Linked DNA regions of Tamandua tetradactyla. The protein of the gene in region 1 purifies or fractionates together with the protein of each later gene. This does not show direct contact. Links are inferred from orthologs where the notes say so. Each region holds a gene or a part of one and is shown in the gene's direction. Other genes may lie near its edges. The genes, in order: PPP1CB, YLPM1, PPP1R12C and PPP1R12B.

Evidence for each region.
Region 2: the proteins of PPP1CB (region 1) and YLPM1 purify together in Homo sapiens (affinity purification with mass spectrometry; 3 studies listed by BioGRID and IntAct, with this or other methods). This does not show direct contact. The link is inferred for Tamandua tetradactyla from reciprocal best matches to the Homo sapiens genes PPP1CB and YLPM1.
Region 3: the proteins of PPP1CB (region 1) and PPP1R12C purify together in Homo sapiens (affinity purification with mass spectrometry; 3 studies listed by BioGRID and IntAct, with this or other methods). This does not show direct contact. The link is inferred for Tamandua tetradactyla from reciprocal best matches to the Homo sapiens genes PPP1CB and PPP1R12C.
Region 4: the proteins of PPP1CB (region 1) and PPP1R12B purify together in Homo sapiens (affinity purification with mass spectrometry; 4 studies listed by BioGRID and IntAct, with this or other methods). This does not show direct contact. The link is inferred for Tamandua tetradactyla from reciprocal best matches to the Homo sapiens genes PPP1CB and PPP1R12B.

Annotation. Positions count from the first base shown.
Region 1 is NC_135329.1:12,889,587-12,896,730, forward strand, and holds the start of PPP1CB (serine/threonine-protein phosphatase PP1-beta catalytic subunit), read left to right. Parts: upstream 1-4,143; 5' UTR 4,144-4,239; exon of another isoform or gene 4,240-4,302; intron 4,303-4,453; 5' UTR 4,454-4,541; coding exon 4,542-4,593; intron 4,594-7,144. UniProt on the Homo sapiens protein: Protein phosphatase that associates with over 200 regulatory proteins to form highly specific holoenzymes which dephosphorylate hundreds of biological targets.
Region 2 is NC_135338.1:33,829,831-33,837,717, forward strand, and holds the start of YLPM1 (YLP motif-containing protein 1), read left to right. Parts: upstream 1-4,882; 5' UTR 4,883-5,074; coding exon 5,075-5,938; intron 5,939-7,887. UniProt on the Homo sapiens protein: Plays a role in the reduction of telomerase activity during differentiation of embryonic stem cells by binding to the core promoter of TERT and controlling its down-regulation.
Region 3 is NC_135342.1:4,568,130-4,575,115, forward strand, and holds the start of PPP1R12C (protein phosphatase 1 regulatory subunit 12C), read left to right. Parts: upstream 1-3,965; 5' UTR 3,966-3,970; coding exon 3,971-4,282; intron 4,283-6,986. UniProt on the Homo sapiens protein: Regulates myosin phosphatase activity.
Region 4 is NC_135330.1:59,417,414-59,425,043, forward strand, and holds the start of PPP1R12B (protein phosphatase 1 regulatory subunit 12B), read left to right. Parts: upstream 1-4,610; 5' UTR 4,611-4,723; coding exon 4,724-5,188; intron 5,189-7,630. UniProt on the Homo sapiens protein: Regulates myosin phosphatase activity. Augments Ca(2+) sensitivity of the contractile apparatus.

The DNA of each region.
Region 1 (7,144 bases):
GATTCTCACTTTCCCTTTGTGCAATCCAGTTTCCTTTGGATGCCCCTTGTTCTTAATATGTGTACACTTCGAGATTCAGGAAGTGGTACTCAGCTGCACAAGCTGGTTTATACAGACCCAGGTTCCAACTCAATCAAAATATCTGTTCCTCCTGCAACTGATCAAGATTAGGGTCATATCTGTGGTTTACCTCTCACAAACCCATAGGCCCTCAACAAGTATTCTGTATCCACTACTGCTGCCTTTCGTCTTAGCTTTTCCACTCTCAGTTTTCTTTTGTCCTATTCTTCTCTGTACTCATTTTTAAATTTATCCCACTGCATGAATTTATGTTTCCTTGAATCCCTTTATCTGGAATAAAGTAGGGCACAAACAAATATACTTTTACCAAACAAGATAGCGTGATGAGGCACCATTTCTTCATCCTTATCTACCTCAAAGTAAACTGATAGTAAAGAGTCTGTGAAAACTACTTTAGACAGGACCTACACCACAGCTTATTGCCTGTTCTCCTATCTTCTGTGTAAGTGCACAATCTCAACACTGAAATGAAGGAGAGGGAGCTAGAAAAAAAAAAGGTAGAGTTCTGTAAATCAGTTGGACCATTATAGAGCACTTGTTTAAACAATGCTTTATTTTTCCCCCCAAATTGACAGTTTCTTCTCTCCAAGTTTTGATATAGCACATGCATGTTTAAGCGTCTCAGTTCACATTCAATGAAAGAATAATGTTGTAAAGGTGAAGAGTGCAGGTTCTAAATGAATGTCAACATTGCAAGATGTGGAAGATGGGATGGTATAGGGGGAAAAGTATAATCAATGCATATAGGGTCTATAATTAACAGTAATGCTGTGATATGCTTCCATTGAATGTAGCAAGGTCAGTATGTCAAGGCTAGGTGTCAATAAGCAGGGGATAAGGGGCAGGGGTGTGGATTCTTTGTGGAAGAAAAGGAAATTTCCTCATATAGGTTGTAGTGGTGAGTGCGTGGTTATGTGACTCTACCGAAACCACTAACTTTTTACTTAGGTTGGAGTACATGATGTATGAGCAAAACTATTTAAAAATGAAGAGAGACATACAGTGCTGGAGAAAATGCGGAGAGAGCGCTGTACCTACTCACTGCTGGTAGGGAAGTAGAATGGTGGATCCCCTTGGAGGGCAGTGTGGTGGCTCCACAGGAGGCTAGGGGTGGGGTTGCCATAGGAGCCCGCAACCTGGCAGTTACATGTATACTTGGAGGAACTGAGAGTGGGGACAAGAATGGATATTTGCACACTGGTTTTTATGGGGCAGTGTTCCAAATTCGCAATGAATAGAGGTGGCCTAAGGGTACATTGACTGAGGAATGGAAGGGGGAACTGTGGTGGATACATACAATGGACTACTGAGTGGCTGCAAGAAGGAATCAAGTCATTAGACATGCACCTATGTGAATAAACCCGTAAGGACTTATGTTGAATGAAATGTCAGAAACAAAAAGACAAAATTGTCATTCCTCAATCACACAGACTAACTATAATGTACAAATTCAGAGAATTGAAGTCCAGAGCATGAGTTATCATGTTGGAGCATTTTGTAAAGGGTCGTAGATCATAAGTTCTTATAGCAGTCACATATATTCAGGAGTTGTAACTGTTATTTCTAAATGCTGAGATACTGAGCTATTTGTGTATAAACTAGTTGTTTCCTGAAACTTCGGGTATGTATGTGACATCTGAGACTCTGAGTTAGAGCTCTGAAGCTATGAAAGTCAGCATTATCCCATACAGCAACTATTTTAAGAGTTGAAAAAGTAATCACACTTCAACTAGAGATGTGAATGAAGCTGACTTGGACAGGACTAAAGTAAATCAGAATACAGGGTAAAGGATGAAATCATCCATATTTTAAAACTTCAACTTCTGTATGAGATCAAAGGAAGGAATGTTTATTTGGTGCAAAATTTATATTTTGGGTAGCACGTTATCTAATTTAACTTGTATGAGCAGTCTATTTGAACACCATAATTACATGGAATCTTGAATAGTGCGTAAGATCCTGTTGGTTTGTACAGGTTAGTATAATGCCGCGATATATTTGAGAGTAACTTGGGCAGAAAATGAAAAAGTATTTGCAAAGTCCCCTTAGGGGACTGGGGAGAAAGAAGGAAATAGTCAACGTCCTCATCTGGGGAATACCTTATATTTTCTCAAGCAGTGGGCACAACCAATTCAATACGCTGAGCCCTCAGTCTTGGGGTTCGCCCCTATTAAACTTATTTCTGCAAAGGAGAAGCTAAGCTTACTTATAATTATGCCTAAGAGTCACCGCAGAGAACTTCTTTTGCTGCTCAAATGTGGCCTCTGTCTAAGCCAACTCGGCAGGTGAACTCACTGCCCTCCCCATTACGTGGGATGTGATTCCCAGAGGTATACATTTCCTTTTGACAACATAGGACAGGACTCCTGGGATGAGCCGAGACCAGCATCATGGGGTTGAGAAAGTCTTCTTGACCAAAAGGGGGAAGAGAAATGAGACAAAATAAAGTTTCAGTGGCTGAGAGATTTCAGGCAGAGCAGAGAGGTCATCCTGGAGGTTATTCTTATGCAGTATATAGATAACTCTTTCCAGTTTTTTGGTGTGTTGGAATAGCTAGAGAGAACTACCTGAAACTGTTGAACTGTAATCCAAGAGCCTTGAATCTTGAAGATGACTGTATAACTACAGAGCTTTTAATGTGTGACTGTGTGAATGTGAAAATAAGTAATAGGGGGTTGGGGAATATGGGATATTTTGGCTGTTCTTTTTCACTTTTATTCTTTTTCTTTTGGAGTAATGAAACTGTTCAAAAATCGATTGCGATGATGAATGCACAGTTATATAGTGATACCGTGAATCACTGGTTGTACAATTTGGATGATTATATGGTATGCAAACACATATATCAGTAAAATTGCATTTTTTTAAAAAAAGGGTGCAGGTTCTGTCGCTAGATTCCTGGGTTTGAATCCCAGATCTGCCATTTACTACTGTGATTTGAGTAGACGTATTTAACCATTTTGTGTCTCAATGAATCCTATCCACAAAAATAGAAATAATAATAATACCTACCTCATGAGGTTGTTGCAAAAATTAAATGCCATAGCAAGTGTGTAACACTTAAAACAGTGCCCAGTACATGCAAGGACCTCAATAAATGTTAGGTATTATAGTGACATATGGGTGGAAGAAGTATGGTCACGACCTTGTAGAGTCTCCCTGAGTTTTTGGAAAAACAGCTGAGGACAGGTAAAGGCCTTTGGTCTGGCCACCTCCCGGAACAGGCAGAAAACTCTGGCTTGCCTAGATTCTTTGGGCGGCTACTCTCCCTCTCGCGCATCATACATGTGGTGGAAAGAACAGCTGGGCAACCAGCTGAGCCCCCTCCTTTCTCCTTCTCCTTCACATTCTCTGCGCCAGATACTCGGTGGGTGCTGCCATGACAAATGCTTATTTTTTGCCCTCTAGGATCCCACGGTCGAGTGTGAGATAAATGTATAAACAATTACAACGTTAAGAAAAGTAAACAATATAATAGAGGCACAAACACAAAATATTGTGGTAAAATAGCATCCACGGGGCAGATGGAGATGGAAGATATGTGAAAGCTCCGCGTAAAAGGCATGTAAAGTATAATTATTGCTGATCCTTTCGAGGCTCACTTCAATTCATTCATCCAGGGACACTTGGGGACCTGGCCTTGTGAACTGTGTGCAATGTCAAACGTTTCCAGCAGACCACCTCTTCTTGCTACCCAAATGCGCAAACCAGGTTTCAAGCATGGGTAAGTGGGGCCTACGTTCCTCGGTTAACGGAACTGCGAGGACTTGCTTGCAAAATCATGGAATTAAGTTGAAATAAAGAAGAGCGAGGCGGAAAGGGTACACACCAACTGCGCTGCAGAAGGCCCTGAGCCCGAAGGCGATGAGGGGGAAAGGGCCGCCCCGCTGACGCCGGCTCTGCGTAACGGGGGCCTCCTCGGCGCAGCAAATCCGGAAACCCCACAGGACGCCTGCACGACCGCGGCGAGTCGGCGCAGTGGAAGTGGAGGGAAAGGGCGACGCGTCTGCGCGAAGGCGGCGGCGCCGGCGGGAGCTGGGGGCGGTGGGTGAACTCAGTGCGACTGCGCAGAGGCCTGGGCCGCGCGGAACGCGGCAGTGCGCCTGCGCGGGGGCTGCGTGGCGCGGTGGCGGGGAAGTGCCGCGCGGAGCGGCGCTGGTGAGCTCTGCGGCGTTGGGCGGTGCCGAAGGGGAGGTGGAGGCTCGGGGTTGACGCGGCCCGGTGCGTGCGGCCCCGCTTGTTTATTTATTGATTTATCCCCCGTTCCTCCGAGTGTGCGCGCGCTCGCACGACTTGGTGGGGAGGGGGTGGGGGGAGGGCCCGGGAGAAGGGGGGAGTCGGGCCTGGGGTCGAAACGCCGTGTGGCTTGTAGGTGAGAGAAGGCCGAGCCGTCGCCGCACCCTCCGCCACCGAGAAGCCCTTGTTCCCGCTGCCGGGAGGGAGAGCCTGGTGCCGACAAAATGGCGGACGGGGAGCTGAACGTGGACAGCCTCATCACCCGATTGCTGGAGGGTGAGCGCGGGGCCGGGCCGGCGGGCTGCGGGGGGGCCCTCCTCGATCCTCTCTTCCCGAAGTCGGAGGCAGCGGGGCGGACGGGCAGAGGCAGCGGGGAGGGCGCAGGAGGGTACTTCTCCCCGCGGACCCTCGGGGACGGAGGGCGCCGCTCCGGGGCGGCGGGGAGCTGCTGCTGCTCGCGGTGGGGACCCTTTCCAAGGAGGGAGCGAGGGTGCGTGTGGTGTGCGCTCTATGTCCCTGGAACGCGCGTTTCTTCTCGGTTTTCTTTGTGCCTTGGCCTTTGGCTCCCTCACATTGTTGTTCGGGGTGAATTTTATATACTTAAAAAAAAAAACTCCGTAGTGTGATTGTTTAAGCTGCTGTTCTGCATTTTTGTATGATGCTGGAGAAGGAACTCGGCTAGGAAGAGGGTGGTATTAGCGCGAGTTGAATTCTACCGTTTATTATTTAGCTTTAAAAAAAAAAAAAGGGAAGTAAAATCTTTGACGAAGTGGAAGACCTCCCGCAAGAAATCTGAAATATGTACATAGGTATGTTGAAGGGATTGGTTAGACTTTGCGAATTTAACAGGTTTGAGCAGAATTTAATTTAGGCACATAGTTAGGAGAGGTCTGTTGAAAAGCCTCCCTTTTAAGTTTAAGCAACGTTTGAAGTTTCCGGGCCCTTTGCGTTTTTATTGAAAATTTTAGATTGATGTGTGAGGGAAGGGCACAGAGGCCAGGAATTAAACATACTGACTCATTACAGGATATTATTCAAAGTTAATCGCAATCTTCGGCCAATGAGTCCCTTTACCCTTAGATTCGCATTGCTTTCTGGGTGTGTAGAAAAGTTCTAAGTAAGCCTTTTTTAAAATTTAGAGTCCTTTTTGTTCGATAGTCAAATTATTGTCTGTGAATTATTTGCTTTCACATTATCTGAAGATTATTGTTTACAGCAGTGAAGCAATATGTACTTAAATTTGGAAAATCATGAAGATTATTCAGCTAATGTATTGGTATCTGAAACAACATCAGTTCTGTGTGTACTTAATGTGTAACTAAATACAGTGTATTTGCTCCAGATGTGAAAGCCTTCGAAGAGTCTGACTCAATATGAATAGGAAGCAAAGTTTTACCAGAAACTCTTTCTTACCTTTTCCTTTACTAGTAAGTTATTCCTGGGAGGCCCCCTGGTGCCTGCAGTCAGTGTTCACTGCTTGAATTTTGTGGACTTTTAACATTTTGTTGGGTTTTAACTGTAAGAAATTTGTTTTTAGAAAGATTGTATAGTTTTTGTACCTGTAAATTATTCTGAGAGAGAAATATAGTTATTTTAGAACTTTAGTATCTCGTTAACCTTTGGGGAGGTTTTGACATATTACCATTTTTATACGAAATTTTTTTTGAATCTGCAAATTTCATTGAGATATATGTATATATTTACATACCATATATTCTATCCAAAGTATACAGTCGTCTCACAGTATCCTCACTTAGTTGTACAGTCATCATTACTCTCAATTTTAGACAATTTCCATTGCAACAAAGAGAAAAATAACAGACACACACACAAAGAAAACTCAAAACACCCCATATCCCTTACCACCACCCCCAACTATTTAACCCTAGTATTGGTGTGGTTATGTGTTACTGTTGATAAAAATTATTAAGATATAACTGCTTATATAGAGTCCATACTATGCAGTAGTTAATTTTTTCCCAATTACCACTCTGTTATTAACTCTGCAAAGATCTTTTTTTATCCTTTTTTTTACTCGTCTATCAGTATCGTAAATAAAAGGAGCATCAGACACAAGATTTTCACACTCAGTCACATTGCGTAAGCTGTATCATTATACATTCATCTTTAAGAATATATTTGAAATTTTGCTTGTAAATGTAAAAAAAAATTAAGCTGGTGTTTGTATTGCAGCTTCTTCACCTTTCTCTTCCATACATTTATATACGGTAGACCTATGCTTTTAAAAATGTACTGTGTGGAACCTTTTAAGTTGAACCCACTTTTTATGATTATACATACTTAGGAAACTTAGTAGATCGTCAAGGTTATTGGAAAAAAGATTTGGTCGGGAAAGTAAGTGATTCTATTTGGTTTTGTGTATGCAAATTAAACATTTTGGTTCCGTTTGGAATGGAAACAGTCTTTTTTTCCACACCTTCGTGTGTGTGTGTGTGTGTGTGTGTGTGTGTGTGTGTGTGTGTGTGTGTGTGTGTAAGATTTCTCATCTCAGACACATTTTTCCCTTTATTGACTTACTCTGTGCCAGACCAGGAATCCAAAGATAAAACACAGTCTCCTCCCTCTAAGAGCTCCCAGGCTAAGAAGGATTATCTGGCTTTTTTCACTCTCCGTTCTGTTCGTATATTCAGCACATTTCCACCAGTAAAGAGTTTTTATTCCTTGTTTCTTAACCCCCGGGGGCGGGGGTGAAGCATATTTTGTTTGACAGTACCTCCCTGAGATTCTTAAAATTCTCCAGATTTCCCCTGCCAATCTTCCCATCCAAAAACTTGTCTGAAGCAGATCTGGTTTTTCTAATGAATAA
Region 2 (7,887 bases), on another chromosome or scaffold:
CAGCTTGTGGCTTGCCCTACAGATCTTGGATTCTACATTCCCCCAGTTATGTGAGACACTTTTATAAATTTTATATCAACATATATATATCCTGCTGATTCTGTTTCTCTAGAGAACCCTAGCTAATACAGTGTTGTTTTCAAGTTTCGGTTATTACAAATACTACTGATATGAACATCCTTGCACATGTGAACATATATATGCATTTCTGTTAGGTACAGGCCTAGGTGTGGAATTCTGGGTCATAGACTAAAGGTATGTTTCATTTTAGTAGTTACTGCCAAATGGTATCTCAGAGTAGTTGCCACAATTTATACCCCCATCAGCAGTGTATCAGAACTGCATTTGTTCCACATCCTTGCCAACATTTGGTATTGTGTCTTTAAATTTAGTCATGTTGGTAATTTGCAAATGTACTGGTATCTCATTTTGGTTTTAATTTTTACTACTACACTCTACTGAGGTGAAAATACTTTTATATGTATTGACCATTCAGATTTCATTTTCTATGAGATCCCTCTTCAGGTATTGCCCATTTTACTCTTTTAAATTGTATGTTTTTACTTATTGATTTATGGGACTTCTTTATATAATCTAAGTATGGATCCTTTGCAGGTTAAACATGTTACAAAATATTTCCTTCTACTCTGTGACTTCCCTTTTTCACTTCCTTAATGAAAGGTATATAAAAATTGTATATAGGTACATATATTGATTTGTATATTGATTTTATATCCAGCAATCTTATTCTTAAAATGTATCTGTAATTATTCTGAATTTTCTATGTACATAGTATCATACATGAATAATAATAGTTTTGTTTCTTCTTTTCCAATATTTATATCTTTTTTTTTCCTTGCCTTATTGCGCAAACAGGGCCTGTGGTACAATGCTGAATAGATGTGAAGACAGTGGGAATTTGGCTCTTGATGTCAGTGAAGCTTTCAACTTTCACCATTAAGTGTGGTGTTTACAATAGATGCTTAATAGATACTCTTCATTAGATTAAGGAAGTTCCTTTTCATTTCTAGTGTGCTAAGATTTTTAAAAAATATTGATATTGATGTGTATCGAATTATTTTCCTCCATCTAGTAAAATGATCACATTATCTTCCCCTTTAATCTATTACTATAGTGAATTACATTTATTTTTATATTTTTCAAAAGAGAATTCCAATGAAAAATATTAACAACACAATTAACTGAGGTTTCTGGGTTGAGTAACTTTCTGTTCCTTGACCTGGGTGCTGGGTACACAGCATGATTGGTATGCGGAAATTCACTAAACTTTACACTTAATATCATTTTTAGTATATATGTTATACTTCAATAAAAAGTTAAAAAAGGAACAGAACTAAATGCCTATTTGAGAATGAAACTCATGCTTCTGAAGTATACCTGTATGCACCACTCTGCACTCATATCCACTTCCTAAGAGGTGAGGATCTGGGTTACTAAAATGGAAGGAAGGTCAAGGTCTTTTTATGGAGTGCACAACAGACACACTTTATAGTCTCAGAGTTAGAATCCAGTGTGGATTAACTTTGTTTCTTAGTGATTCACTCAAACCACAGAAGGAGCTTATGTTTAGTACTATACTGAGAAATTTTTGCAAGAATTATCTTCTAGGTCATCTATTCTAGACAATCTTTGTATCTGGTTTTTGCTATCTTTACTTTCGCTTTGAGGTTCTCCAACATGGGTTTTTAAAAAAAATGTTTTGAGATATTCTAAAGAATTCCATTTCCCCTCTTATTCCTGTAGCTGTCACTTTTTATATGCCTGCAGGAATTGGTGCGGAGTATTACATCGTCTTCAAAATAGGTCTCCATTCTTTCACAGATTTGTTTTCAGTTTGATTTTCTGGGTTAGAATTGTGTTGTCTATTCATTTTTTATTGTGAAATATAACATATATATTATATATATATATAATGATTCAGCAGTCATACTCATTTGTTAAATACTATCTTCTCTGTTATAACTCGACCTTCTTTAATTTTTCTCCCAGTCTTTAGGGGTATTTAAGCTATGCCCATTCTAGCTTTTTCATGTTGGAAAAAGCTGTTGATAATATGGGATGGAGGATGGAACTATTTGATATTTTGGAGAGGCTAGCCCTTCTGGGTTTCAGGATTTATCAGGTCTAGGAACCCATCTGGAGGTTCGAAAGTAATCATAGTGCATGGAACCTTTGTAGAGTCTCAGATAAAGCCCTACATGTTCTTTAGGGTTGACAGCAATGGTTTTGGTTGGAATTTGCAAAACCATAATACCTAGTAATATCTAGAGTAGCCTCCAGAGTAGCCTCTTGACTGTTTGAACTCTCAGTCACCCATACCTTATTTGTTACAATTCTTTCCCCCCTTTTGGTCAGAAAGGCATTGTCGATCCCATGGTACCACGGCCGGGCTCATCCCTAGGAATCATATCCCACGTTGCCACAGAGATTTTCACCCCTCTATGTCATGACCTATGTAGTGGGGAGGGTAATGATCTAACTTGCAGAGTTGGGCTTAGAGAGAAAGAGAGGCCACATCTGAGCAACAAAACAGGTTCTTTGGAAGTAACTCTTGGGCATAACTATAGATAGGCTTAGCTTCTCCTATAAATACATAAGTAAGCTTCACAAGAGCAAGCCTCAAGATCAAGGACTTGGCATATCGTCTTGGGAGTCCCCAATGTTCGAGACAGTATCAAGGATTTCCCCGGTGATAAAGTTTAATAGTTCCATATTTTTTCTTCCATGCTTCAAGGGACTTTGCCAATACTTTTTTACTTATCTGCTCAACATACTCTGGGATGTGTCCGGGCAATACATTAAGCTATTTAGAATTACATGCTCTCATTCCCATTCTGGGCTCCATGTGTTTGGGTTGTTAAAATGCTCTATCCAGACGAGTTAGAGTATGTGCTACAGAAAATTTAGATTTTGGACAAAATAAACCTCTCTTCCTTTGGTCTCAGAGTAGGTGAAGTTTTAAAATACAGACAATGTCATCCTTATCCCTTATTCTGATTTAACTTAGTCCCAATGTGATCAGCTTCGTTCTTATCTCTAACTGAAGCCTGATCTTTTTCAGTTTCTTTAACAGTTGTATGTGGCAATGCTGACTTTCAGACCTGCAGACCTCCTACTCTGGGTCTTACATGTCACACAGGTACTCAAAGTTGGTTATACATATATAGCACAGTCTTTCAAAATCTAGAAATAACAATTGCAGCTCTGGATTAAATGTGACTGCTATCAGAGTTTACAATCTAGTCTCAATTTTCTTATAAGTATTTTCTAAATGAGATCATACAATAGTTGCAGTTTTGTTTCTGGCTTATTTTGCATTACATAATGCCCCACAGGTTCAATCACATCATTGCATACTTCACGACTTCATTCCTTTCTGTAGCAGCTCAATATTTGAACATATGTATACACCACAGTTTACCATTCTACCACTCAGTGTATCCTTTAGCCACCTTAATCCACTGGGCATCATGTATAAGATCCAAAGTCATCAACCCATGTCTCACATTATCCTCATTTAGTGGTATAATCAACACTCTCAATTTTAGACAATTTTCATTGCTCCCCAGAGAATAATAATCAATAAACACACCATCACCAAACAGAAAATCCAAACCCCATAACTCTTGTCCTCCCCATCCCCCGCCCCCAATTATTTACCCCTGGTATTGCTGTGGTACTGTTGCTGTCTTCTTGTTAAACATAGCCGTAGAATGCAATAGTTTTCCCTCTTTACCCCATATTATAAACACTGTATAAGATTCATACCTTGTTCATATGAAACTTAACCCCACAAAGGATAGGCTAAGCCTACTTAAAATTAGGCCTATGAGTCACCCCCAAGAGAACCTCTTCAGTTGCTCAGATATGGCTTCTCTCTCTCTCTCTCAGTCAACACAACAAGCAAATTCATTGCCCTCCCTCTCTCTACGTGGAACATGACTCCCAGGGGTGTGGACCTCCTGGCACCGTGGGACAGAAATCCTAGAATGAGCTGGGACTCAGCATCAAGGGATTGAGAAAACCTTCTCCACCAAAAGGGGGAAGAGTGAAATGAGACAAAATAAAGTGTCAATAGCTGAGAGATTCCAAACAGAGTCGAGAGGTTATCCTGGAGGTTATTCTTACACATTAAATAGGTATCACCTTTTTAGTTAAGGTGTAATGGAGAGGCTGGAGGGAACTGCCTGAAAATGTAGAGCTGTGTTCCAGTAGCCATGTTTCTTGAACATGATTGTATAGTGATATAGCTTTCGCAATGTGACTGTGTGATTGTGGGGAAAAAAAGAGATTCATACCTTTTAAGTAATTCATGCAAGAACTTATTTCTGTAGTGTTAATCCGTGGGATACCTGGCTCTAATACAGTCCCTTTCAATAATGATGTTCACCTTTAACATGGCAATATCACTTTGTCTATTAATTTTTAATTTGAGAAGAATTGACATCTTTACTATTTTCCCTCTTTTCATTCACAACCATGGTAAGCCTGTCCATTATTTCAAGCCTAATTTTATCCCTCTTTGATATGAATGTTCGGTAGTTTTCTTCATATAGAAATAATTCGAATTAATTAGAATTATTTCTAGTTGTTTTTATGGTTTTTCTGTTGTTGTTGCGATTGTTGCTATTGTGAATGGAGCCTCTTTTTTTTTTTCATTCAAAAATGAATCCGTGGAGCGATAGGATCTCTACCAACGCGTTTCAGCTGTGAGACTCTATGGTTCCTCTGTTCTATGAGAACATTCTACTCGAGCCTGCATTACCAGAACCCTAAGGAAGGTGGCAACCGAAAGTCGTCAAGCAAAAGGCCGCTCTAGCTCGCCTTTGTTCTCCTCTTGGCGGCTACTGCGCAGGCGTAGCAGCCTCAGGCCCGTCCCCGCCTTCCCGGTCGCGGGCCCTGCTCCGTAGCGCCGGCGCACTGGCGCGCTCCGTTTACACGCTCTAGGGCCTATACGTGCCGCGAGTTCCGGCTGTCGCCGCCGCCGCAGCTCCTGGAGGTCGGTTGCGACGAGTAACGGCGCCAGGACGAGCCCTGCGCCTTCTTCTCCGATATGTACCCGAATTGGGGCCGGTATGGCGGGAGCAGCCACTATCCGCCGCCGCCGGTCCCGCCTCCGCCTCCGGTGGCGCTTCCTGAGGCCTCGCCGGGCCCCGGGTTTTCGAGCTCGACGACTCCCGCGGCCCCCACGTCCTCCGGCTTCATGAGCTTCCGCGAGCAGCACCTGGCGCAGCTCCAGCAGTTGCAGCAGATGCATCAGAAGCAAATGCAGTGCGTGCTCCAGCCCCACCACCTTCCCCCGCCCCCCCTGCCGCCCCCACCGGTGATGCCGGGGGGCGGCTACGGGGACTGGCAGCCACCGCCGATGCCCCCGCCGCCCGCGCCGGCCCTCAGCTATCAGAAGCAGCAGCAGTACAAACACCAGATGCTCCACCACCAACGAGACGGGCCTCCTGGTTTGGTTCCCATGGAGCTGGATTCTCCTCCTGAATCTCCGCCTGTGCCGCCGGGGTCCTACATGCCCCCATCTCAATCTTACATGCCCCCACCTCAGCCGCCACCCTCGTACTATCCCCCGTCCTCGTCCCAGCCCTATCTGCCTGCCGCTCAGCCGTCCCCTTCTCAGTCCCCACCGTCCCAGTCATACTTGGCGCCCACCCCATCTTACTCTTCCTCCTCCTCCTCGCAATCCTATTTGAGCCATTCCCAGTCCTACTTGCCCCCGTCTCAGGCATCGCCTTCCCGCCCCACGCAGGGTCATTCTAAATCCCAACTGCTAGCTCCACCACCACCGTCTGCCCCTTCTGGGAATAAGACCACTGCCCAGCAAGAGTCTTTGGAGAGTGGGGCCAAGAACAAGAGTTCTGAACAGCAGCAAGCTACCCCGGAGCCAGATCCCTCTACGATGACTCCACAGGTAAGAAAGCTTCTGTTTGAACCGCTTCTTTCTCCTAGAGGGCCGTAAGTGATCAGGCCTCAGGACTTTAACCAGTGCTTAGCCTAATTCCAATACACAATGACAAGCTAATTTACACTCTAAAAGATCCTCCTAGAGCCTTCCACCCCGCTTTTAAATTAGGTAAATGTGGATTACAGAAAGAACCTTGTTTAAAGATGTTACTAGACACCACAGAATAGTGGAATGGCTCAAGTTCTCAGATATATTTTGAGTCTCCTTCCTAAATTTGTTGCAGAGGGCCTTGTTTTAAAATTGTATTTTAAGCTAAAAGTTCCTTTTGAGAGGCCACATAAAGAAGCTTCTCAAAGGGCTGACACTTGAAATGCATGTAAACCTTATGACCCAGTTAACTTTAAAAAAAATTTTTCTTTTTAGGATACACTGATAGCTCTCAGCTTCCAAAAAAGGAGGCCTCAGCAAATGAAAGATGAATGTCTTATTAGAGGCATCCTAATTATGCTTATAGATACATGTGAAAGTTTTATAGTTTATTCCCCAAATGTGCTTGCCCTATCAATACATAGATGTCTCTCTAGACACTTGATCCTTTTTGGGGGGGCTCTTGGTCCATTTAAGGAACTGACCCATACATCCTTTCCTCACATCACTTGAAGATAGTTTTAAGACATGACCACTTTGCTGCATTTCATGGTTGCTCCCATTAACTCCAAAGTAGCAGCCTTGGAATTAGACCAAGATAAAAAAAAAAAAAAAAAAGTTGATGTCTCTTCATTAGAATCTTAGTAGTAAGAGATCCATTTCTCTCTCTGTTTGAAGTGATGCTTCCCACAGAATGATCAAAATTGACAGGGTAGAGATAATAAATGAATTCCTCCATTGAGAAGGTAGAACTAAAGGGGAAAAACGATGTGTTATTATTTCTTTAAAAAGACACTTTTAGCAATTACTAACCTAAATACACTATTTTTTATTAGTGAATAGTCTTTTCAATAAGCCCAGATTCGCATATAAAATATTTACAAAAGATAAGGATGTAGTATTCTAATTTTACAGTGCTTTGGTATTAGAAATTAAGAACAGAGGCAAGTTGTTTTAAGGAATGATGCTTGGCACACCATCAGGAGAAAACACTTGTGGTGCCGGAATAAAGCAGTAAGTATCTGATTCTGTTGGTTTATGCCGAATTAGTACCATGCCTCCAGGTTGTTTCCTCCAGATTTCTCTGTTATATAGACAAAATTTCTGGCTCCTTCCCCCCACCCCCCCGCGGAATTTCCAGTGTTTTTGTTGTCAGATACCTTAGTCCAATCCAAAATATGAGATTTTATATCCTCTTCTCTACTGGACTGTTTCTAACCCTTTAGAGTGACAAATTAATTAGATTTCTGGGATTGTTTGTTTTGACTTTTTATGGAGGAGAGGGGACAACAGTATCAGTATGATCCTTAATCTGACTACAAATGCTGCTTTTGCTTTTCTGCCTTTGAATCCTTGTCCATAGTAAATTTCTTTTTACTTGAGTACCCAGTGCCTCCAATTCTTTGGTGAGAGCTGGAAAGACATTGGTGGAAGATGAGGCTTGAGAGGTCTGCATGCGCTAGGTCAAGAAGGGCCTTGTAAGCTTGTTTAGGCTCTCCTTCCTCCATCTAGGATTCATCCCAGCTTTATCTACCCTCCCTCTCCCTCCTTGTAGTAGATCTCCTCAAGGCACACCTCAAATATCAAGGTCTCCGTGAAGCCACAAGTGTACTTACTGATTTGGTTTTGTTCTGTTGTTCGGATTCTAAGTCCCTTACACACAGGGACTGTCTGGCTCATCTTTTTATCCCCTGTAGCACCTAGGACAGTGCCACAGAGATTTATTGACATAGGTACAAGTGTTGTCATGTTCTAAACTTAGAATATTTTTATATGTTGTGATAAATATTTTTTATGCCAATGCCAAT
Region 3 (6,986 bases), on another chromosome or scaffold:
GACATAGCCATGAGAAGCAGAGTCCACCAGCCAGCGAACTTTGGAAATTAAGAAGGAAAATGCCTCCTGGGCCGCTTCGTAAAACAGGAAGCCAGGAGAAGAAGCTAGCAGATGATGCCGTGCTTACCACGTGCCTTTCCAGATGAGAGAGAAACCCTGACCATGTTCGCCATGTGCTCTTCCACTTGAGAGAAAAACCCTGAACTTCACTGGCCTTCTTGAGTGCAGGTAACCTCTTGTTGGTGCCTTAGAATGGACATTTCTATAGGCTTGCTTTAGTTGGGACATTTTCATGGCCATAGAATTGTAAACTTGCAACTTAATAAAAGTTCCCTTTTAAAAGCTGTTCCATTTCTGGTATATCACATTCCGGCAGTTAGCAAAGTAGAACACCCGCTAGGGCTGTTTTTCTATTGAATTCACTAGGAATGAAAAATTGCTGTAATTTTGAATGCAGTTTAATATTTTTTATTGTTACACTGCCACGGACATAAATGAAAACTGACCTGATATTTATTTATTACATGAAGGTGATCGGTACCATTATGATAGAAAAGGCTAAGAAAAGTTGCTTTATGACTTCCTCTCATCAGTCTTCTTGATTATGCATAAAACAATTTAGTAATACTTTGATAACGTTTGTTTATGAAACATTATGCATTATGCAGCATGAAATGTTTAAAACTGTTTTATATGAAAATATGGAATAAATATAAATTAAACTGACTGCAAAAATGTTCTACTCAAGAGTATAAGATGCCCAAAGTGCCTCATACATACCTGTGATAACTACCATTTGGATTTCGCAGTAAACTAGTCTTGATTCTGGAAAGAAAGGCCTGGGGGAAAAATTGGGGTAACAGTGAATTGAATAATAACCCCTTATAGGCTCTCAGGGATTTTCATTTTTTAATGTCAGGAAAGCAAATATAAATTTTATGTTTGTTTCCAGCTACAGAAAATAAGTACAGTAACTGTATAAAGACAAAAATCTGCATGTATTTACTTTTTATCAGCTGGCAAGCAAACTAAAAGGCAAACTGATAATGCTATGTTTAATTTTAGAAGGGTTATGCATTCATAACATTGCTTATAATTCAGGATAATATGTTAATGTGGTATAATTTAATAATGTATCCACATGCAAAGAAATGTAATTTAAACATATTTACATTTGTCAAAATCATAAATACAGGATATTAAGTCAAATAAGAAGATACAGCATTTTGGGATTCTGGGATAGCACATGATTGCAGAGAGCAGATAAATTTATTTGGTCTGAAAATTTGTCTGAAGGCAAATATTTCAAATGTGATAAGTATTTAAAGCATTGACTCCAATTTTTTTTGGATATATTACTAAATAAACCATGTTTGTACATGTTTGTATGTGACTCTACTATGTATATGCTTATAGAAATGTGAAATAAATGAATCTCTGTAATAAAAACAAAAAGAACTGGCTTATAATATTTTTACCTCTATCTCCACACTGGACAGATTAATAAACTTGATACTTTCACAAATGTGCTCAGTTCAGCCCTTTATCCGTACCATCTTTACGATGCAGATCAGTGTCTGTTTTGCTGCAGCTGCAGAGGAAGAGGGAACATTTTCTTCTTAATTATCTTTCTGAGGTTATTTTCATGAACAGCGAGCATGATCTGCAGTTCCAACTTTAAACATCAAAATTCCCCTGCTAGCACTGCAAGAAAACAGCAAGTCTTAGAGGCGAAATATCTTCACTGTGGAAAAGAAATGGGCAGAAGAGAATTTTAACAATTGGACTATGAAGATGCAGATATACAGCTAACTTCTTCTACTTATGAGATACTTAATTTGAATTATTACAGCAACTCCAGGAAGTATAGATAAAGAGACAAGGTCCAGGTCATAAGGCTAGGAAATGGCAAAGATAAGATTCAAATCTTGGACTGTCGAAACCAGAGCCAGAATTCTTAACCATTGTAACGGAATATAATTTTTGTTTTTGGTAGACGTTGAAGTCTAAAGATAGAAGTTAATGCAAGGTTGCTAATAGAGTTTATGGCAGGAGAACCTACCAGAGTTCACTGTGTGGGTTGGGCAGGTCCTGTAAATTGGGTTGTCCACAGATAAACAATAACAGTCACAAAAATATACATAGCCATATTTACACAAACATCAACTTACCCCAGCCACAGTCACAATCACAAATATACACAATTATAATGGGTGACAGTCATGCATAGCAACATGCATAACCACAACCACCCACAAGAATACACCGAAGATTTACTTCGTGCCGTTTTTAAGCGTCCCTGGGTGAAGAGGGTTGGTGCGTAGGTTCAGGAACTGTGGGGTTCACGGACTACACATCCCAAGAGCCACCAGGCCCACAGTCCCCTTCGCATCTATGGTCAGCGTTCCCTTGACCTCATGGGATTTGCAGTTTATTTCTTTGCGCAGGCCCAAAGACTTAGGCGTGGGTCCCTACTCCTAGATTCCTTGGAGGTGGGAGATACTCTGATGCCCCTGCCTACATTTCAGCCCCTTTCTGCGTGATTTCTATGGGTCTCTGCTCCTGTTTCAAAGTGCCTGCATCCTTCACGATTTGCATTTCGGTGCAGGATATTCAGGGTGAGGATTATTTCGTGCTTGGTCATGCTGGTCTTCTGTAACCTCAGAAAGACAATTAAGAAGAAAATGTTCCCTCTTTCTCTGCAGTTGCACCAAAACAGGCATTGGTCTGCATCGTAAAGATGGTACGGATAGAGCGGGCCACGGTGGCTTAGCAGGCAAGGACGCTTGCCTGCCATGCCAGAGGACCCAGGTTCGATTCCTGGTGCCTGCCCATGTAAAAAAAAAAAAGATGGTACGGATAAAGGTCACCCCGGTCCCAGAACGCCAGCTCCCAAACCTGGACTACAAATCCCAGCAAGGCTTGCGAAGGTGCAGGCGCATGGACTACATTTCCCAGCATGCTCCACGGCTCCAGGTGGGAGCGGAAGAAGGGCGGCCTAAGAAAGGCCCTGGGGAGCTGTCAATGGGGACCTCCTTTCCCCGGTGGGAGCCAGAGGTTGGCCCTAAGGACTCCGGACTTCTGATTCCATTGCCCAGCGTGCTGTTATAGTGAACTCTGTTCAGTCTTGTCTTTGAGCCTGATTAGCTGGGAGTTGCTGGGAGTAAATCGGGGATTGTCCTGGCCCCGGCTGTGCCTTTAGGGGCGTGGCCCTGCGACTACATTTCCCAGCATGCCTCGGTTTTTCTCACGACCTGGGAATCCATTTCTTAATTCATTCAATTAATATCTTCGTTCCGTACTATCGGGCTCTGTTTTAGGTCCTGGGAATAAAAGAGTGAACGTGGAAGACAAAAACCTTTACCCTCGTGGATTATTCTTTATTGGCGAGGGGCAGACAAAAAAACCCAATTAAATAAATTATATAACAGCATGTGGAAAGATGATGAGGGGCGTAGACTACCTTGTCCTATAGATCTCAGAACTTCCGGGTTGTTACACATTTCCGATCAGGCCCCGGAGCCCGAGACCTGGCTCGTTTACACCGCGCACTACATTTCCCAGCATGCCCTGGAGCACAGTCCACCCTGTGAACTCCATTTCCCAGCTGTCCCTGGGGCATGTTCCTCAATCAGGCGATTTCCTTTCGACCGCTCTAAGCTGAGGACTTCCCGGTGTGCCTCGGGGCACAGCTAGTCCAGGAAATTGCCATTAGAGACTTCCGTTTTCGGACTCCATTTCCCAGCGCTCCCAGGGTCCCGCCCCACAGGCGATCGCCGTTGGCTCTTTACGGGCCGCGGACTCCATTTCCCAGCGTGCCCTGGGAGCGGCGATGCGACGTCATCCCGCCGGGCGTGGTCCGGAGAGCCCTCGGGCAGCGCGGGGCGAGCGGCAGTTCCCGGCGGCCCCCGGGGCGGGCGGCGGCGGTTCGGGGCTCCGCTCGCGGGGCTGCGGGGCGGCGGGCGGCGCGATGTCGGGCGAGGACGGGCCGGGGGCCGGGGTCGGGACGTCGGCGGCGGCGGCCCGCGAGCGGAGGCGGGAGCAGCTGCGGCAGTGGGGGGCGCGGGCGGGCGCCGAGCCGGGCCCCGGGGAGCGGCGCGCTCGCACCGTCCGCTTCGAGCGTGCCGCCGAGTTCCTGGCGGCCTGCGCGGGCGGCGACCTGGACGAGGCGCTTCTGATGCTGCGCGCGGACCCCAGCCCCGAGCCCGGCCCCGCCGCCCCGCTGCCCGCCCGCGCGGTGCTCGACTCCACTAACGCCGACGGCATCAGTGCCCTGCACCAGGTCAGCGCCCTGCGCCTCCCTTTCCGGCCCCGAGCGCACTCGCCAGCCTTCCCCTGCAGCGCTTTGCCATCTTGTGCTGCCCCGGTCCCCGAGCTCCCCTCTCCAGCCTCGGGCATCCGACCCACTTCGAGCGCCCCGTGTCCAGCCGGTCTGCTCTTTGCCGCCTTGCGCTGCGCCTCTCTGGACCCGGGCGGTCTCTAGCGACTTCGGTCTGGGCCACATCTATGGTCGTGGCGCCTTTCCGACCCCTGAGCCCCTTTGACTAGACTGTGCCTGAGCCACTTCTCCCAGCCGGCAGTCTTCGTCATCTAAGGCTGCCTCCTGTCTCCTGGGTCTGTACCACTTACTTATTCCAGCTCCGCTCGCACCCCTTCTTCCTGAGCATGTACAGTCTCTCTAACCATACTTGGGCCGGCTGTGCCCTACAGCTTCCCCTTTCCAGGCGTGGCCGGGCACTTTCGCTGAGCTGCGTTCTCTTCTTTCCTGCACCCCCCCCAGTCTCCGGCCTGGGCCACCTCTTTGGAAGGCCCAGATCCTTCAGTGCCAACTCCCGGGTTCTCCTTCCCTCCCACTCCTTCTCCAACTTGGTCTCAGCCATCTGTTGCTGCGTAAGGATGCTTTTTCCCTGAACCACTTCTTCCTGCGCTCAGTAACGCCTTGTTTCCTTGATATATTTTTGTCTTGTCTGGATCACCTCGTACTATTCTCTGCCCCTCCTAATCCAGGTGGTTTCCTCTAAACCCTCCTGGGGTTTGTGCCACCTCTTACCTCCTACCTTGGGCCTGCTTTCTGGAGTGTTTCTCCTCCAGGAGCCTTCATCTTTCCCTCTGTTTCGCCTTCCCTTGGCTAGGCCTGCATTGTCACCCTTTTTCTGGGCAACCTCCAAGCATCACCTCTATTTGTCTTTGGGCCACCTCTGTTTTCTAGTCATCCTTCTTTCTATTTTTCTATGGATTTGGGTAACCTCTTCTTTCATTCAGGCAGTTTCTTCTTCCCATAGATGTGCAGTCTCTCCAGCCTCTGTTCTGTCACTTTCTGGAGGGTTCTGGAACTCTATAAGTTATTTCCTTCCACCACCCTACACTCTCTCCAAGTCACTGAGGTTCCTGTGTTGCCAGACCAGGACCCCCTCATACCCTGAGGATTTTCTCTGGTTCTGGGCTCTTTAACGACCCCTCCACGCTGCCACTACTCTGATGGGGCCACCTGGGAAAGGAAAGGCCAGAGAAGAGCCCCATATCCCCCCATCCCCAGGCTCCCTCCCTCTGGTCCAGCTTCCTTTTCTGTAATAGACATCCATTTCTTAGAGTACCCAGCCCCTTCTGTGCCAGGACCCCTGGGGGGAAGGCTGGGGAATTACCGGGGGTTGCTGGGAAGGAAATCTTGATGGAAGTAGGGGATGCTTGAGCTCACAGGGAGAGGAGCAGTTCAGGAAAAGCAGAATTTGAATAGATTGTTTCTGATTCCTAATCTCAGCTCCTCGATATGTGGCCTTGCCTTAATGGCTTTCCTCTCTGAGTCTCATTTTGTAACCTGTAGAATGGGGCCAACAGCCTCTCCCTGGCAAGGCTCTGGTGAAGGAGGGAGATTGAATGGGTGGAAGACCCCACAAGAGATTGGACGCATGCAGGCTTTCACTGGAGGTTGCTGCCACGTGGCCTAAATGCCACCCCCCCTTTTCCTCTCTCCTCCCCAAGTCCACTACCGCGACACCAGTGATATCTGCAACAGTTTTCTCCACCCAGAGCAGGGTCTCTTTTCCTCAATGCAGCCTTACTACAGGCAGAGCCCTGGCAAGCCTGGGAGAGGGACCTCCCCTAGAGGGCCTTTTGACTCTCCCCTTGATCTGGCCTTGCCCTCATTCTCCTGTTTGGAGGGGGGTCATCTCCCATCCAGGTACTCCCCAGAGCCCTGCAGGAGCACTGGAGGAGCAGGGGCAGTCCTGCCTTAGGCCCCATGCCTGCAAGTGGGGAGCTGGGGTTGGGGTCAGTATCTGGGTGTAGGATGACCACCTCATCCTACTGTCCTGTTTTGGGCCCTGAAAGCCCCAGGAAGTCCCTCCGTCCCAGGCAGGCTGGGTTGGTTGGCCCCCTTATCTGAGGGACTGCTGCGTCTTGAGCTGTGTGTTTTGTTCTGAATCCTCCCTTGGCCTACCCCAGAGCATCAGCCCTACCCCGGCTGTGTTCCCCTCTCCTTCTCAGGTTTCAGCCCCTACCTCAGGTAGGTCTGTGAACCACTTGGCCAGGTGGGTGTCCTCCCCCCACACTTCCAACTGCCTATTGCCTTATACATTAGGGATTGGGGGACTGGGGGCCAGAATGCTTGGAGATCTGGAAGGGGAGGGGCTGGGGGCCTGGACCCCCCGGTCTTGGGGAGGAGGGGCTGGGGGCCTGGACCCCCGGGTCTTGGGGAGGAGGGGCTGGGGGCCTGGATGCCTGGCCTGAGGGAGGAAGGGCTGGGGCCTGGATTTTTGGATCCCCGGAGCCCAGGTCTCAGGCATCTTTCACACGGATGCCTGTGCTGGGTCAGGTCCTTGAAAGGGAAAAGCCCATCTCCCTCCTTGCCCCCCTCCCCCATCGCCATGACAACTGGGTAGAAATAAACGGAGCCCAGAGTTCATCCCGTTCCCAGGGCACGTGTGGCCCCCCTTTCACAGCCCGAGTTTCCATGACTTCATGCTCTTGGCCTCGTAGCTTCCTCCCCC
Region 4 (7,630 bases), on another chromosome or scaffold:
TTTGTATCATTTTAGAGTTTTCAGAGGGCTTTTATATGCATCATCACTGATCCTCACAACCCTGTGAGGTAAGCCCACTTTTGGATTGTTAAAATGGGAATGGAATTGTCCTAGTTCAAAGGTTCAAATTCGATTTTCTAGTTTGAGCTTCCCCAAAGAGAAGATCAGTGACCTTTGGGAACTCCCCTACCTCCACCCACCACTCCCCGTCTTTGGGGGAAAAAAGACCTCGGGATGGTAATGACTTTGGCTTGATAACTTTCTTCTCTAACGCCATTACTTCCCTTTAATGTACTCATGGGTGCATTTTAAAATGTGGATGGTTGGCAATAGTTTAAAATTTGAGCTTGTTTCTATATCATCTCACATTACTTTTTGCTTTTCTAACAATCTTCAATGAATCTATTAGGGAATACAGACACAAATGGATGAAAATTTTATTTGGACTATGCCTCCTCAAGAGGGACGTTTAACAAGTTAAGAATTTATCTTGAACAAGGGGTGCAAGGGTTTATCCTGGGCAAAGGATGGGTGACACAGTGTAGGAGGAATAATGAAAAGAACCAGAAATATTTAATCTGGAGAAGGAAAATAATGATAGCTATCTTTATTTTAAATATTCTTTTTCATGTAAGATTTTCATTCCTCAGTGAACACATCTAAAACCAATAGATGAAAGTTAAAGGGATGGCAAATGTAGCTCACTAAAAGATTCTATCAATTAAAACTAAACAAAACATGTAGACTTGGGAGATAGTGAATTCTCCATCACTGGCTATGTTCCAATGGAAATTAGGTAATCATGTGCATAAGCGTTCTTTGTATTGGGTGGAAGTTTGGAATAGATGACCCATAAGTCCTCTTCTGACTTAAAAGTGTGGTATTTCCTAACTAAGGAAGTACTGTTTTTAGCTAAGCCAGCCCTGACTTCTGAGAGTTGGGTCTCTGAGAGGTGATTGTTGTATGAGAGCCCAGAGATGGCCCAAGCCTGACTTGAATCTAAAGGACCTGGCTGGAACTTGATTAACCTTGGAAATGCTATAGATGGGGAAAAAATTTCATCTCACAGCTCTCATCTCATTGTGTGGCTTTGGAACAGTGGGGTAAAGGAGTAATGGCCAGTCTTTCCCTAAGTTTATAAACCAGCATCATTTTGGCCTCTGCATTGATTTCTACATTCAGTCCAAATTAGAGTTAAGGAGCAAGTGGTACTCGTGACCTCTGCGTTGTATGTGGATACATTGACCAGGATTCTGTCATGATTCCGTCCTAGGGTACCTCTCATTTGTTGTAGAAATGACCAACTAAAGTAGTTTATGAATTACAAGCATAAAGAATTCTGTGATTGTTTGGTCTAATTTACAATCAGATGCAGGGGTTTTGCTTTTATTATTAGTATGTACTCATTGTAGTAAACTGTTTTTTTGTCATAATTCTGGACTTACTTATTTTACTGTTATTCTCTGTTTTAATGTCTTCAAGCCTTCCCTTATTTTCTCTCCTATCCCAACTGTAATGGTACCTGCATTATAGTTTTGACTTTGAACTGATATGGATTACTTCCTTGGGTGGTTCTCTGAGAAATGGGTCTTAAAAATGGCTGTTAAAAAAATGCAGAGACAGGATTGAGTCTGGAAGAAAGGAAAGATGGTATGATAAAACAAGCAAATACCTATAGTTTTGGCAACCAAACTGAAAGGGTTGGAAAAAAAAAAACAAAACTGTAGCGCTAAGTGTATAGTTTCCATTTGTCCACCAGAGGGAGGTATGTAAACTGGTGGAAATATAGGCTGGGCTGAAAGATTTTCATAAACTATGTACATGTGCCATTGCTTTTAAAAAGGGAGTATTTTAAAGTTATAATATATTTTTCAAAGTGTGGGTGTGGGAAATTATTTTGTAACATTTTCTTCACTTTATAAAAGAATGCATCATAGTTGGTTTATCTACTTCATTTAAAAGTTTAAAAAGTATATTTGTCCATAGCCTGTCAAGATTTACTCGTGTATACTTTTTTCTCCTTTGAAATTGAGTATTTATGTAGGAAATTTAAACCTCATTGTTTGTTTTTAATGAGCTGATTGTATAAATTTAGTGTCAGAGGGCTCTGGTTTGGAAAAGTAATGTCAGGAAAAAACTGATATGATTTTAATTTGGAAAATTTAGTCATAGGCAGATGACTTTAGTTTTTTGTGGCATAGTTTTAAATAAACTTAGCCTGTTTAAGTAGATTATTATAATTACTACTTTCAAGAATCAGATACACTGATAATCAAATACACTGGTTTTATAGTCTATTTCTTTCCTTTCAGCTAGGTATTTGCTTAAATTATCCAAGGTACTTAGTAGCCTATATTTTTCTTTAAAATCTTCATGGTGGGTTTTATACCCTTGCCAGTTCAGAAAATAAAAATAAAGCAAATACAATAGTACAGTTAGGACGTACTTACTGGAATTTAAGTTAAATTCTTCCTGTTGAAATTTAAGCTAAAACCTCTAGGGCGAGTAAGGATTTAACTAGAACTTGGCCAATTTTTGCTTATTTATGCAATTGTAACAAGATATGTTTTCTTTCCCGATTCTGAATGCAAAAAGAATACAGTCAAAGGAAATGCAACATTACTGATCCCTGAAAATTTGCCTCAGTTTAAGAAGCCTTATTAGAAAGCTAGTATGCCAATAAAATATATAGTTTAATTATACATATTTTTGACCAGCTACTATGTACCAGAAACAGAATATTAAAATGGTACACATGGATTATTATCAGGTGTGCTTCCTGAGATTTTAGCAATTTGTGTTATACTAAACCTTGCCCCTTCTCAATCTTCCTCTCCAGACTGGTAGTTCAGTTAATAACGGTTTCTTGAAAAGGATTGGATTTCTACCTGGGTATTCGTTTCTGGCTGATTTAATATCAATATTTATTCTGTCCTTAAGAGTGAATTCTGTTTGAGAGCTTCTGGGCACTTTTTTTTTTTTTTTTTTTTTTGCATAGGCAGGCACCAGGAATCAAACCTGAGTCTCTGGCATGGCAGGCAGGAACTCTACCTGCTGAACTACCATGGCCCACCCTTCTGGGCGCTTTTAATTAACGGCAAGAGGCTGAGTTGTAATAGGAGGTGCCATGTTGACAAGTTATAAAGTAAATCTCATGAAGAATGTTTAATTGCAATAAATTATGCGGCATGACCAGTTGTAGAGTGACTGTGAACAAATCCATGCGGATAAGGAGAATGAGGCTATCTAAAGTATAATACATATATTATTAGTCCTTGATGATTTTTATGTAATTCACAGTTCACAAAGATGTTGTAAGGCTTAATTAGTATTTATGAAGAATTAAAGAATACCCAACTAAAGCATACTAAAGCATATTGTAGATAGACACAGTATTATTAAAGATGATATTTTGCATTTATATGTCACTTTTTATTTGAGGCTATCAATTCATTGATTCATTTATTTCCTCAGTGTATCATTCCCTGTTTACCTCAAGGGAAACTGAGACACAAGCAAATGTTCTCATGATGTAATAAAGTCAGGGAAGTGCTTACGCCTCCCTCTAGTTTCCTTTTACAATTCTAATTGTACAATAATTTTCAATGAAAGATTTCAAGCATACAGAAAAAAATTAAAGAAGCTAATAACTGTATATGTTCTCTTTCATAACGGATAACACATTTCATTATATTATGTCCAGGCCTAAGGCCCTGGGGTATATTGTGAGTTTTAAGTCATTGGGACAGACGCAGATTTTATAATCAAGTTCATGGTGAATATGAAAATGTCCTACCTCCTGTGTTAGGAGTTTAGTATTCTCCACAGTAACTTTCTGTAGATTTGAAAAAAATCATGATAGGCAATACATCCATTCCTTCTCCTGAGAATTTAAGATCTATGGATAGGGTAGAGGAGGAGGAGGGAGAAAGGAGTAAATTAATATTTTTTTTGTGTGATTTGATGTGTGTCAGGGATGGTACTGGACATCCTTGCATTTATTATCTTATTTGATCCACATTACTATCCTGTGAAATATTATCATACCTATTTTACACATAAGAAAACTGACTTGAAGTAATCAAGTAACTTGTCTATGTAAATGTGAATTCCAGGTTGTTTTGAATCCAAAGCTTATGTTCTTTTCACTATACTTAGATACACCTTTTTTTCAAGATGTTTTCTGGGCCTAGTATAAGTGTTACGATGACAGTGCTTACGTATAATATGTAATAGTGTATATATGTGTGTATCTTCTCCCTCTCCTCCTCCTCCATTCACATTTACATTTACTGTGATTCATACACTCCGGGTTTATTAACACACTATGTTAACAGAGTTCTTCATTTAGAAGCAGGACAAGAATTCGTGTCTTTCAAGTACTTTCGGTCTGTTTTCCCCACTACATAATAGGGACAACTGCTGCTCCTTTACCACTTAAAAGGAATGATGTGATAATCAGGGAGCTAAGGTTAGTATACATAAGAACTACAACTCCCCAAATGCCCAGCGGAAGAGGCTACCGTCGGTCCGGGAGTCGAGTCCAGCTTTAGGGCAAAGGTGACCTCGTTGCGTCCCGTGGCGACGTAGTGACAGGCCGGACTTGCCTTTCTTTCTGATGCGTCCAGGGATTTGTAGTTCCCTTAGGGCCACCGAGTGCCCTTAGGGCAGGCATCTTACTACAAGTCCCGTGACCACCGAAGGTCCGGGCAGCGCCTGCGTAATGAAGGTGAGGGAGATTACTGGCCGTGCTAGTGGCAGGAGGAGTAAAGATGGCGGCGCGAGGGTTTCCGCTTTCTGCTCCCGGCTAAAGCACTTTGAGGGAGGCGGCAACGGCAACAGGAGCAACAGCCTTCTAGTAGTGATCGTTTCAGCAGCAGCTTCTGAGGCCGGAGCAATGGCGGAGCTGGAGCACATTGGCGGTAAGCGGGCAGAGTCGGCGCGAATGCGGCGGGCTGAACAGCTTCGGCGCTGGCGGGGCTCGCTGACCGAGCAGGAGTCCGCGGAGCGGCGCGGCGCGGGGCGGCAGCCTCAGACTCGTCGCGGGAGCCCGAGGGTCCGCTTCGAGGATGGTGCTGTCTTCCTGGCCGCCTGCTCTAGCGGTGACACTGACGAGGTGAAAAAGCTTCTGGCAAGAGGCGCCGACATCAACACGGTCAACGTGGACGGCTTGACAGCCCTGCACCAGGTAACTCCCTTCTTGGTATTATAGGCGTCCAGTCTCCTACAGAAGAGCCTGTGACACCTACCAGCCACCCCCTGGAAAGGATTAGTGTCGGCGCCGAGCCCCCACACCCACAAACACCCCGCATGGATACTGGCCCCTTTGGGCTAGTCGGTTTTGTTCTTGGCCAGCTTTCTCCACAAATCAAGTTGTCTTTTCGACCTCAGAATCCCTACCTTAAGGAATAATGTCACCCAGCTGCCTGGGCAGTGTTTGTATTTCCCTCCACCTACTTATGTTGTCATGGTTACTGATGACTTAGTGCCTGGTGTTATCTCTGTAGATTAGTCATCTTCACTTCAGTCTGGTTGGTGTGTGTTCCTGTACACACCGTGCCACCAGATGCATGGTCAGTGTTATTTGTGAGATGCTCTTTCCGAAAATTCATTTTTTTTGTCTGTATGGCCCTTAAATTAATATCTCGGATAACTTAAATGGTAAATCCCTATACTGCGTTAAGGCAAGCACGCATCTGAAACCACACATCCCGTTTTGCTCATTTGTGGTACTTCAAAAACAGTTCGTGTCTTCTCCAGCATACAGCTCTTAAAACACCCCTAACCTCATTGTTATAGGAGTCTTATTTTCTTCCCAGCAGTGTTACTTCCCGAGAGAACCAACCTACGGAATCACTTGTATTTATTTGATACCTATGGAATAACCTTGCTGTTTCTCTTTTCTTAAAGCCCTCTATAGAAATCACATGTCCTACATATAGCCACTGTATATGGATTGTGGATGACCTGACAGTTTTGTGTTGGTAATACCAATACTTCTCTCTCCTTATGCAACAGTGTTCTGTGTATATTCTGACTGCCATAACTAACTCCACCCTCCCAAATAGAACTTCATCAGTTATTTTGGTTAGCCAAGAGCTGGGCACTCACTCTATATTTCTTAGTGTCTTCTTTTGCTGTCTGGGCAAAGTAAATGTGTTGACATGAAAATCCCCTTCTAATTAATAATTCAACTTCGTGTAAACTACATTCCTAAATATATTAGCTAATAGTTTAAGATTACTCCTTACCATGTTTGCAACCTTTCTCTTTCAGACGGTATAGCCTTGTCCTCTGTCCACCCTAGTTATATTCAATTTTTTTCTGCTAATAACAGTGCCCCACCTAAGGTAACAACCAACATTTGTATGGTGCTTTGCTGTTTAAACAACTATTTCCTAAGTCTTACCTGAAGTGAGTCTCAGCAGTGACCCTGGGAAGTAGGTAGGACAGGTGGTATTGTTAGTCCCATTTTACAGATGAGGAAACTGAAGCTCTGATAAATTGTTATTTGTGTAAGGTTAGAAAGGAGAGCAGTTGCATTTAGGTACATCCTTTTAAGATTTCAAGTCCAGAGTTTGACATTCCACTTAAGAAGCAGCAGAATAAAATATGATAGAAATGAAAAGAGCGACATTATTACTTTTAATTTCTGAACTCTTTGGGAAGATCAGTTCTTATTTTTTCAAATATTTGAGATGTGAAGGAGATTTAAATCTGAATTTTGGAAGAAATCATTTAATGGCTCATTGGAGGATAGAGAAATAGGGTCCATCTTTCTAGTCCGTATGTCCTGTTTTGAATAGCTATTCTATCAAAGCATGATTTTCTTGGTATAACTCGGTAACTTTGTTTCCTTTAAGGTGACTCTGTTAGTTGAGCCTGGGCCATACACATTTTTAAAAAGACCTGAGAAAAGCATCATCTTTAAGGTCGCTTATGATAAATCTCTTTCCCATAGCAGGTAACTACTGTTTGATCCCTTCTCCTGAGACTGACCTTCTTTGTGCCTTTTCTTCTTCACTACCACTCAAATTGTGAAGTGCAACTTCTCTCAGTTTATAAATTCTTTATATGCCATAACTTCTTGAAATAGAAGGAGGTGATAGCTAAGGAATTTCTTTTTTATATTAGCGAATGCAGTATAGGCAGTTCTCCCTCTCATTTGCACTCATGACAGTGAGCTGAATTGCAAACGTGGTAGCATTACTACACCAAATTATTTCAGCTAAAGGTTAAACTGCTCAAAGAATTAAGGTCAAATCTACTTTCTGTTGAGGAAACCATCTCTGTTTGAATCAAGACCAGCGGCCTTTATTGGCTCAGGAACTCTTTTACAGGTTAATTTCCACAGAGTTACAATATGTTTCTTCATGATCTGAAGAACTTTTAAGGTACATAAAAGATTATATTTAAAATGTAAGACTAGAGCAACCAGTCGCTGAACAAACTACTTTATGACAGATTCTCCTTCTGTCCTTCTATAAAATGGAGAGTGCTACAATTATTTGAATTATTTAAAGTATCCATTATACAAGCATGATATGAATCATGTGATATTAGCTTCTTTTCTTTTCTTTGTTTTGGCCATGGACGCCTGACCAACTGTCGATTATCATTTTATCATGTT